2 linked regions of the Tribolium castaneum genome follow. The protein of the gene in region 2 binds, or shares a complex with, the protein of the main gene of each other region. Links are inferred from orthologs where the notes say so. Each region holds a gene or a part of one and is shown on either strand. Other genes may lie near its edges. The genes, in order: Rrp4 and Dis3.

Region 1 (3,254 bases), on a different chromosome or scaffold from region 2:
AAAGAAAATAAGTAGTAAATTCGAACGAAGGTTGAATGAAATCAATGAATGAAAATGGATGTACGTCCAAGACGGATATTAAAACTTTCGTTAAGTGTGTAATGAATTTTTCGCATTGTTCCACCAGTTCTTTATCCCTCAAATGTTTCCCTGTAATGTTCAAATGTGACGAAAAAAAAATTATAACCACACAAACTACTCACTGCATTGCAGTGCCATTTTAGCGCGATCAAAAATCACTTTCAAAAACTTCATACAATCCTGGTTTTGATGCGGTTTATAAAAACCAAAAACAGTCAATTTGCGTAAAATCCTCAAAGTCAATAGTGCTTTTTCCAAATTTGTAAGAACTAGTTGCGAAGCTGCGCCTTTCATTACATCATTCATAAATTGTTCGGTGAAATTATTCCATAAATTCAACACAAACGAATAAATATTACTGGAAAACTCTTGGAAAAAACGGCGATCGCCTGTTAACCGTTTCGAAGCAATGGCTTTAACTACATGATGAAGAGTTAAAAATCCTCGATGTTGGACTAGAGAATCAGGACTTTCAATTACTTGTAGTAAAGTCGGAAATAATTCGGGCCACTCTTTCGGACAATCAATTCGTGCAATTTTCGAAATTAAAACCGCTCTTTGTACCGCAATCTGACTAACGGGTTCGTTAAAACTTAAAATTAAACCGTGTTTAATGTTTTGTTTTTCTGCCTCTAAAATAGCGCTAGAAATGGACATTAACTTTAGTTAGGTACATTACAACTTGCGTGACTTACTTTGGTGCGTTTTTTCTCCAATATCGTTCAATACCATTTTTTATATACAAAACTGCAATCCACCGTACGTTTATATCAAGCGAGTGGTTAGATAAAACATTCTGAAGAATGGTGTATTATTTAATTGTGTTTTTTGCCCAATACGTACAAATAAAACTGTGTAAAATCCAGGTTGAGTTTCCCATTCCCGTAATTTGGCTTCAGCCGGTTTTAACACTTCTGGATTTTGACTCGAGGCTCTTTGCAGAACTTCAATTACGATGTCTTGTGTTGATCCCGTATTCATTGTGAATTATAATCATTTCCCCCTTGAGAACCACAATTTATTATAATACACAACAATATACGAATTATTTTCAATAAATTTTAACTTGTGTGTAAGACAAATCGCAAAAGTGAGGTTAGAATAATTTAATTTTGATTTCCTAATACGCCTTACATTATGGTAATAACAAATTTAAAATTTTTTCATTTCAATGTGGAAAAGAAAATTTTGCCTCACCTGACCGGTATTATACAATTATTTTTTCTTAAATAAAATTATCAATTGTCAAAACACATATGACATGTTTCAAATGACATGCACGACTACCACAACAGTCATTAAAAATACCAAAAAACAAAAATTTCCTTTTAATAATTAAATTACACATAAAACCGACAAAATAGAAAATTAAAAACAAGTTTCAATAATAATTCAGATTGATAACAGAGAAGTCACAATTTTATATAGATTGCGTACTTGCGTATTGTTGCTTGCCTAACCCAGTAATTGTTGTTTCTAATCTCAAATGCGGTTCGAGTGTTTTGCAAGAACATGCCGCAAAAAATTCACATACGCCTTGCCGCTCATCGCATCAACCCCTCAATTGCTGTTAACCGTCGAGTTCCAAAGATATTTACTCCGGGACAAGTGATTACGGAGCAAAATGAATTTATGAGGTTAGGTTTGTCTCGTGTTTTTTTTTGAAATTTTGCGATTTTTCTAAATAGAGGGCATGGTACGTACGAAGAAGAGGGTTTTTTAAAATCATCAGTTGCTGGAGTTAAGGAACAAGTAAATAATTTGATTTCGATTCGTCCGTTAAAAAGTCGATATAATGGTGAAGTGGGTGATGTGGTGGTTGGACGAGTCACAGAAGTCCAACAAAAACGCTGGAAAGTTGATACGAATTCGCGTCTGGATTCGGTCTTGTTGTTGTCTTCCGTTAATTTACCAGGAGGGGAACTGGTACATAAAAGATTTTTTTGGTCGTTAATTTTGCAAGTAAGTTGGCAATATTAAATTTCAGCGGCGTAGATCAGCAGAAGACGAGCATATGATGAGACAATATCTTCAAGAGGGCGATCTTATAAGTGCCGAAGTACAGAGCGTTTATTCAGATGGTTCTTTATCTTTACATACTAGAAGTTTGAAATATGGAAAAGTTTGTCTCGTGTTTTTCGTTACGTTTTGATTATACGTTCATTTTTGATTGTAGCTTTCTCAAGGTATTTTAGTTAAAGTCTTTCCCTCGCTCATTAAAAGGAGCAAAACACATTTTCACAATTTCTATGTTGGGGCTAGTATTATTTTGGGCAATAATGGGTTTATTTGGATTTATCCAACTGTTTCAAATGCTGAGGATAACGCTGGTGGCTTTGTGCAAAATTTGGAACAAGTTGTGTCTCACAATAGTTTTGTTGTTTTTTTTTGCTACTGTGGTGTTTTTAGGTCGTTTCAAGGCCAGAAAGAGAAACAATTGGACGTCTTCGAAACTGTATTTTGGCGCTTATTCAAAGTAAAATGATGCTGTACGATACTAGCATTTTGTATGCTTTTGAAGAATCACAGAAATATTCAGTGGCTGAATTATTGATTCCTGAAGCTATGGTCGATGTAGCAATTTTGACTCAGGATAGGTTAAGCATGTTGGAAAATTCATAATAAATAGTTTTTTCTTATAAAAAATGTCTATTATTCGACTTGAGAACGTGTATAAAATAATCGATATAAATAATGTTAGCCTAGTCGAGATATATACAAAAAAGTAAATAAATAAAATAAATAAGTACACGAATTAGACTGTTTACCGTTACAAAATTTGCTCTAGGAACGAGAGTCAGTGCAAATTAGTTTTAATAAGAGATCAAGAAAGTATAACTTTTGCAACGGTAAAATAAAGCTTCCATCACCAAGGCCGCCACCTTCCCGAAAAAAAATCCTTAAAAAATACATATTGCATAATGTAGAGTCGGGGAATTCCCTATTTGATATCTCATCTCGAGTTAACGATATCACAGAACTAACAATGCTGCTCGTCAACTCAACCGAAAGATCAAACTTGATTAAAGCACCAAAGTGTCTCTAAATCTTCAAGCGATGTGTTTCCCGGGATTTAACCACTTCTTCATGTAGTAACAGAACAGCGTACTGATGTAAAGTAGAACTAATAAGGCACAAGTCACACCCAAGGCTAACACTGAAGTCTTGGTGGG
Region 2 (4,582 bases):
TGATTGTAAGTCGCTCTGTTTCAAATATCACAGGACGCGGATTCTAATTAGAAATTGTTCGAATGTTGTGGAAAAATTCATAATTCAGTTGGAAACAATAATTACAAGTTATTTATTACAAACAGGAATTTTCCGACGTTTTTATTTGTTTAATATAATTTATGTCACACTTTTAAGGTCTTGTGTATGACAATAAAGGGCTTTTATTTACCTGGAACAACACAGTAACTTAATAACAACGCTTGTAATTCTTCACAGCTACTACACACCACAGCAGATAGGTTTTGTTTAATGAATTCAATTGGCGCTAGTTAAATAAATTACTGTAAATAAAATATGTAACCTTCTACGAGTGTATTATGAGTATTAACTAGCTTATCTTAGGCAATTTTTGAGCTACTTTCTTAGGACGACACGTGATACCTTTCAATTCACTTTTGTAGACATTAAACAATGCACAGGTACGCTTAAGTATCATGTATGCAACATATGGTTACATAAACTTGATCTATGTGTTTTATTGTTTTCTATGAGTTATACGTTAATAATAGTTTTGAAAATAAATGAATAGTAAAGTTCGGCAAATACCTAATCTGTTTGTTTTACGAACAAAGTAATTAGTACGTTATCAAGGCTGTTAAAAATGTGATTGTTTTTTAATTTTTAAGTTTTGCCAAATATCAAGACGATTCGTGATAGATAAATTGTTACAGTTGCGTTCCGAGCTCATCTCAAAGATTCTCCGAACTCATTTACTCAAAAATTAAAACGAATTTCAAAAAATTTGAGACAAAAGTTAGTCTGAGAGGTTTTTACTTTTTTTGTAAAATCCGCAAGTTATTAAACTAATTTTTTAAATCAGTTTGTCAGAAAAACTTTGAATGCTGATCAGACGCTCGTTCGAGTGACTTGAGTTCAAAAAAAAAATAATTTTCTGTTGTTAGGACAGCAAAGCAAAGAAGTTTCTCCACGACCTAAGAATTTACTTTATGATTTTTTTTTTATAAAAAAAAAGAATAATTTTTTGTTAACTAAATTACATGATAAAAATGTGGAAAAACGCCTCGGAAGACTTGTTTCCGGAACGAAACAAATATTTTATAAACTGTGTTTTTAAATATCGTGGTTTTACTTATATGGGAAGCTAAGTACAGTCACCCAAAATGAAAATGATGCGTCTATAAACAACCACCTACCGTGCATTTTTGAATAAGATACTCATTTATTTTACAATATTTGATAAAAAAAAACGTCTAAATCCATAAATCTTTTGACAAAACAACGTCTCAAAATTACAAAATTACAAAATTTTCCAAGCTTTTTGGAATGTATTACCTAAATAAACCGAGCTGAAAATGAAACAAAATTTTTTTTTTATTTTTCTGATTATTTCGTAAAAATTATCAAGAATAAGATAAATATCATAAAATACTTTAATTAATGTTCAAATTTGTTCATTATACAGCAAATTTAATTTCACATTGAAATTTATATTTTGCATCAACCGTGTAAACTATAGATTGCTCCCTCACATTTTGTCTCTAATAAAAGCTTTTATTACTATAATTATTATTATTATTATTATTATTATTATTATTATTATTTATTAATAATTTATTATTTATTTATTAATTAATTAAATTTTCCAAAAAATGAAACCCTCAATTATTTCAAATGATGATAAACGAAATGTCGAATTTCTTAAAACTTGGGCGTTATAGACACGTCATTTTCATTTTGGGTGACTGTACTTATCAATAGCAACTCGTACAGGATGTATAATTTTTCATTTTGCTTCTGCAACTAATTAAGTCGCATGGGGAACACGTTTATTGCATATTTTTAATAAATTAGCATGTTTATATAGCAGTGGGAGTTAGATTTCTTAATAAAACGTTGTGCATGACTAGGTAATATGGTAATGGTCTTTTGTATTCATAATTGCTGGAACAATGTAAGAATTTTTGTTTTGTATTTTTTATAATAAAAAAACAGTTTTTTATATTTCCCGCCTCAGCTGTCAACAAAAACATAACCACAAAAAATATTGTAATATAACCTCCAAATAACTTGTTGCGGCATGTTTTTGTAAAAAAACATTTGAAATAATTAAACAATGTTTACGACTAAAGCTTTTATTAAAAAGAACAAAGTTGGGAATTATCTGAAGGTTAGTATGTGACAATAAACATGGGGGTCCATCTTTTCTAATATTGTAGCACGTTCGAGAACATTATATTCGTGATGACATTTCTTGTGGTCTTCAAGAGTGTGAAACTTGTTTGCCAGTGGAGTCATTCCTGTCCCCAGACCACGAAAACAAATGTTCTTTATTTACTTCTAATCATTATCTAATACTAGACACAAATGTTGTTCTTGATCAGGTATTTTCCGAGTTTATTTTTTATAAAACTAGCATTTAAATTACAAATTTAGATGGATATTTTGGAAGAGTCCGTCATTGGTAATGTGATAATCCTCCACACAGTTTTAAACGAGGTGAAGCACCGAAGTCTACCAATTTACAAACGCTTGTGTGCTGTAATTGAAAATCCGAGTCGTCATTTTTACGTTTTTATAAACGACCACCATCAGTAAAAACATTTTTTCATTATATTGATACAAACCTAAAACATTGCTTCCAGAGGCACTTATTTGCAACAAAACGAAGGTGAATTAATTAATGATTACAATGACAGGTGTATTAGAGCTGCGTGTTCCTGGTACATAAACCATGCCCCTAAACAAAAATTCGTTTTCCTCACTGACGACTCAGCTAATCGGATTAAAGCCCAAAAAGAGGATATACCTTCTTACACCGTCTCGGAATATGTGCAAAATCTCAACACTTCGGGTCTTACCGATAAATTATCGAGGAAAGATTTTCACGGAAATGATTTTACGAAAGACGTTTTTCCCAACCATTTGAGTAATGTTGAGCTTTTGACTGGCATAAGAGAGGGAAAGCTGCTCCAGGGGACTTTCCGAGCCTCTCGAGATAATTTCTTGGAAGGTTTTGTCAATGTGGATTCGTACGAAGAGCCGGTAAGGCAATTTTATAAATACATTATTTTTAATATTGAAACTCGAAGCGAAGCTATTTGTTTTTATTTTCTGTAGGTGATAGTTCAGGGTCGGGCTGGCCTTAACCGCTCAGTGGATGGTGACACTGTAGCTGTTGAGCTTTTGAAAGAGGAGGAATGGGTGTGTCCGAGTGAAATAATCCTAGAGGATGAAGGGGTTGGTGATGAGAGTGTTGACGATGTTGTGACAAAAGAAAACGAGTTACAAAAAGCGACAAAGAAGAAAAGTGGAGCTAAACCTACAGGACGTGTTGTTGGAATTATTCGTAGAAAGTGGAGACAATATTGTGGCATTTTACAAGGGGGCATTGATGGTGTTTATCAGATGTTTGTTCCAGCTGATAAAAGTATACCCAAAATTAAAATAGAAACGAGACAAGCGGAGTTTCTAAGGACTCAGAAATTGATCGTTACGATTGATTCCTGGCCCAAACATTCACGCTATCCTCATGTAAGTGTTATAAGTAAATAAATAATTATTTACTCAAAAAAAATTACCACTAAAGGTAAGCTGAAAATACAATAAATCAAAGACAAACAATGATTATAAAGAAACACTAACAAATAAAATAAAAAAACAACAGTTTACAACTTAGTCTAAGAAAAAATTGGAAGCATGTTAAGAAAGCGTCAATAATAATGTCGTAATAAAATTTATTTATTTTAGAGGTAATTTCCATTCTACTATAATAAGAGTCAACATTTAGAACACTAATATTAAAAGACATTAAAAACTGACTGATTCAGAAATGTTTTTATGGCAAACTATGCAAAAACAGCTGTGATTAGTAAGAAATTTTCTACAATGTCAAAAAAAGTAACATAACTTGAAAATTATCACAGATAGCTATAGGAAATGCTAATACAAATCGATGTAGAAAAAAATTCTCTTCCATTTAATAAAATAAAAATTGGGACATCCCATTTGAAAAAATTAAGTTATGGGCACTTGAAGTTGTTCAAACTTTAAAATTTTTGGGTTTAATAACGTCTTTTCCAATTTTGAATACACTGCAGAACAGATAGAGGCTTTCTCTTTTAATCCTCCAAATATGATTTTGAAATCTCCAAAGCTAAGAGAGTTACCGATTTTTTAAGTGACAGATGCAAATCCAAAAATTTTCAAAAAATCTTAAATATCCTGAAAATGGTTCAACTTAGGTATAGGGAAAGTTGATAAAAATAGCCTTAAAATAATTCCACTAATCCATTTAAAATAAGGAAGTTGCATAAAAAAAAATTACTCAGGAAAAAATTTCTTTTTGCATTAATTTTTTGTAATTTTTTAAATAGGGTCATTTTGTGCGAGCTTTGGGCAACATTGGGGACCAAACCACCGAAAACGAGGTCATTTTGCTGGAACATGACGTCCCTCACAGCCAATTCTCTGAGGAAGTTCTCAATTGTTTGCCCAAAATGCCTTGGATCATAACCGATGATGTAATGTTTATTTTCCTCCCTGATTGTTATTCATTGCGCTTTTAATAGGACGTCAAAAA

Evidence for each region.
Region 1: Dis3 (region 2) and Rrp4 share a complex: the UniProt entries of both Caenorhabditis elegans proteins name them as parts of the RNA exosome complex. The link is inferred for Tribolium castaneum from reciprocal best matches to the Caenorhabditis elegans genes dis-3 and exos-2.

The regions. Positions count from the first base shown.
Region 1 is NC_087397.1:170,354-173,607, reverse strand, and holds Rrp4 (exosome complex component RRP4), read left to right. Parts: upstream 1-1,512; 5' UTR 1,513-1,593; coding exon 1,594-1,718; intron 1,719-1,769; coding exon 1,770-2,007; intron 2,008-2,068; coding exon 2,069-2,203; intron 2,204-2,257; coding exon 2,258-2,437; intron 2,438-2,490; coding exon 2,491-2,703; 3' UTR 2,704-2,727; downstream 2,728-3,254. Other genes in the region: Impbeta11 (importin-11), read right to left, coding at 1-150, 204-724, 777-877, 925-1,062; uncharacterized protein tyn, read right to left, coding at 3,132-3,254. UniProt on the Caenorhabditis elegans protein: Non-catalytic component of the RNA exosome complex which has 3'->5' exoribonuclease activity and participates in a multitude of cellular RNA processing and degradation events. Involved in regulation of antisense ribosomal siRNA production.
Region 2 is NC_087394.1:36,186,340-36,190,921, reverse strand, and holds the start of Dis3 (exosome complex exonuclease RRP44), read left to right. Parts: upstream 1-1,638; 5' UTR 1,639-2,116; coding exon 2,117-2,170; intron 2,171-2,219; coding exon 2,220-2,384; intron 2,385-2,436; coding exon 2,437-2,594; intron 2,595-2,645; coding exon 2,646-3,045; intron 3,046-3,120; coding exon 3,121-3,534; intron 3,535-4,376; coding exon 4,377-4,523; intron 4,524-4,571; coding exon 4,572-4,582. UniProt on the Caenorhabditis elegans protein: Putative catalytic component of the RNA exosome complex which has 3'->5' exoribonuclease activity and participates in a multitude of cellular RNA processing and degradation events. Has both 3'-5' exonuclease and endonuclease activities.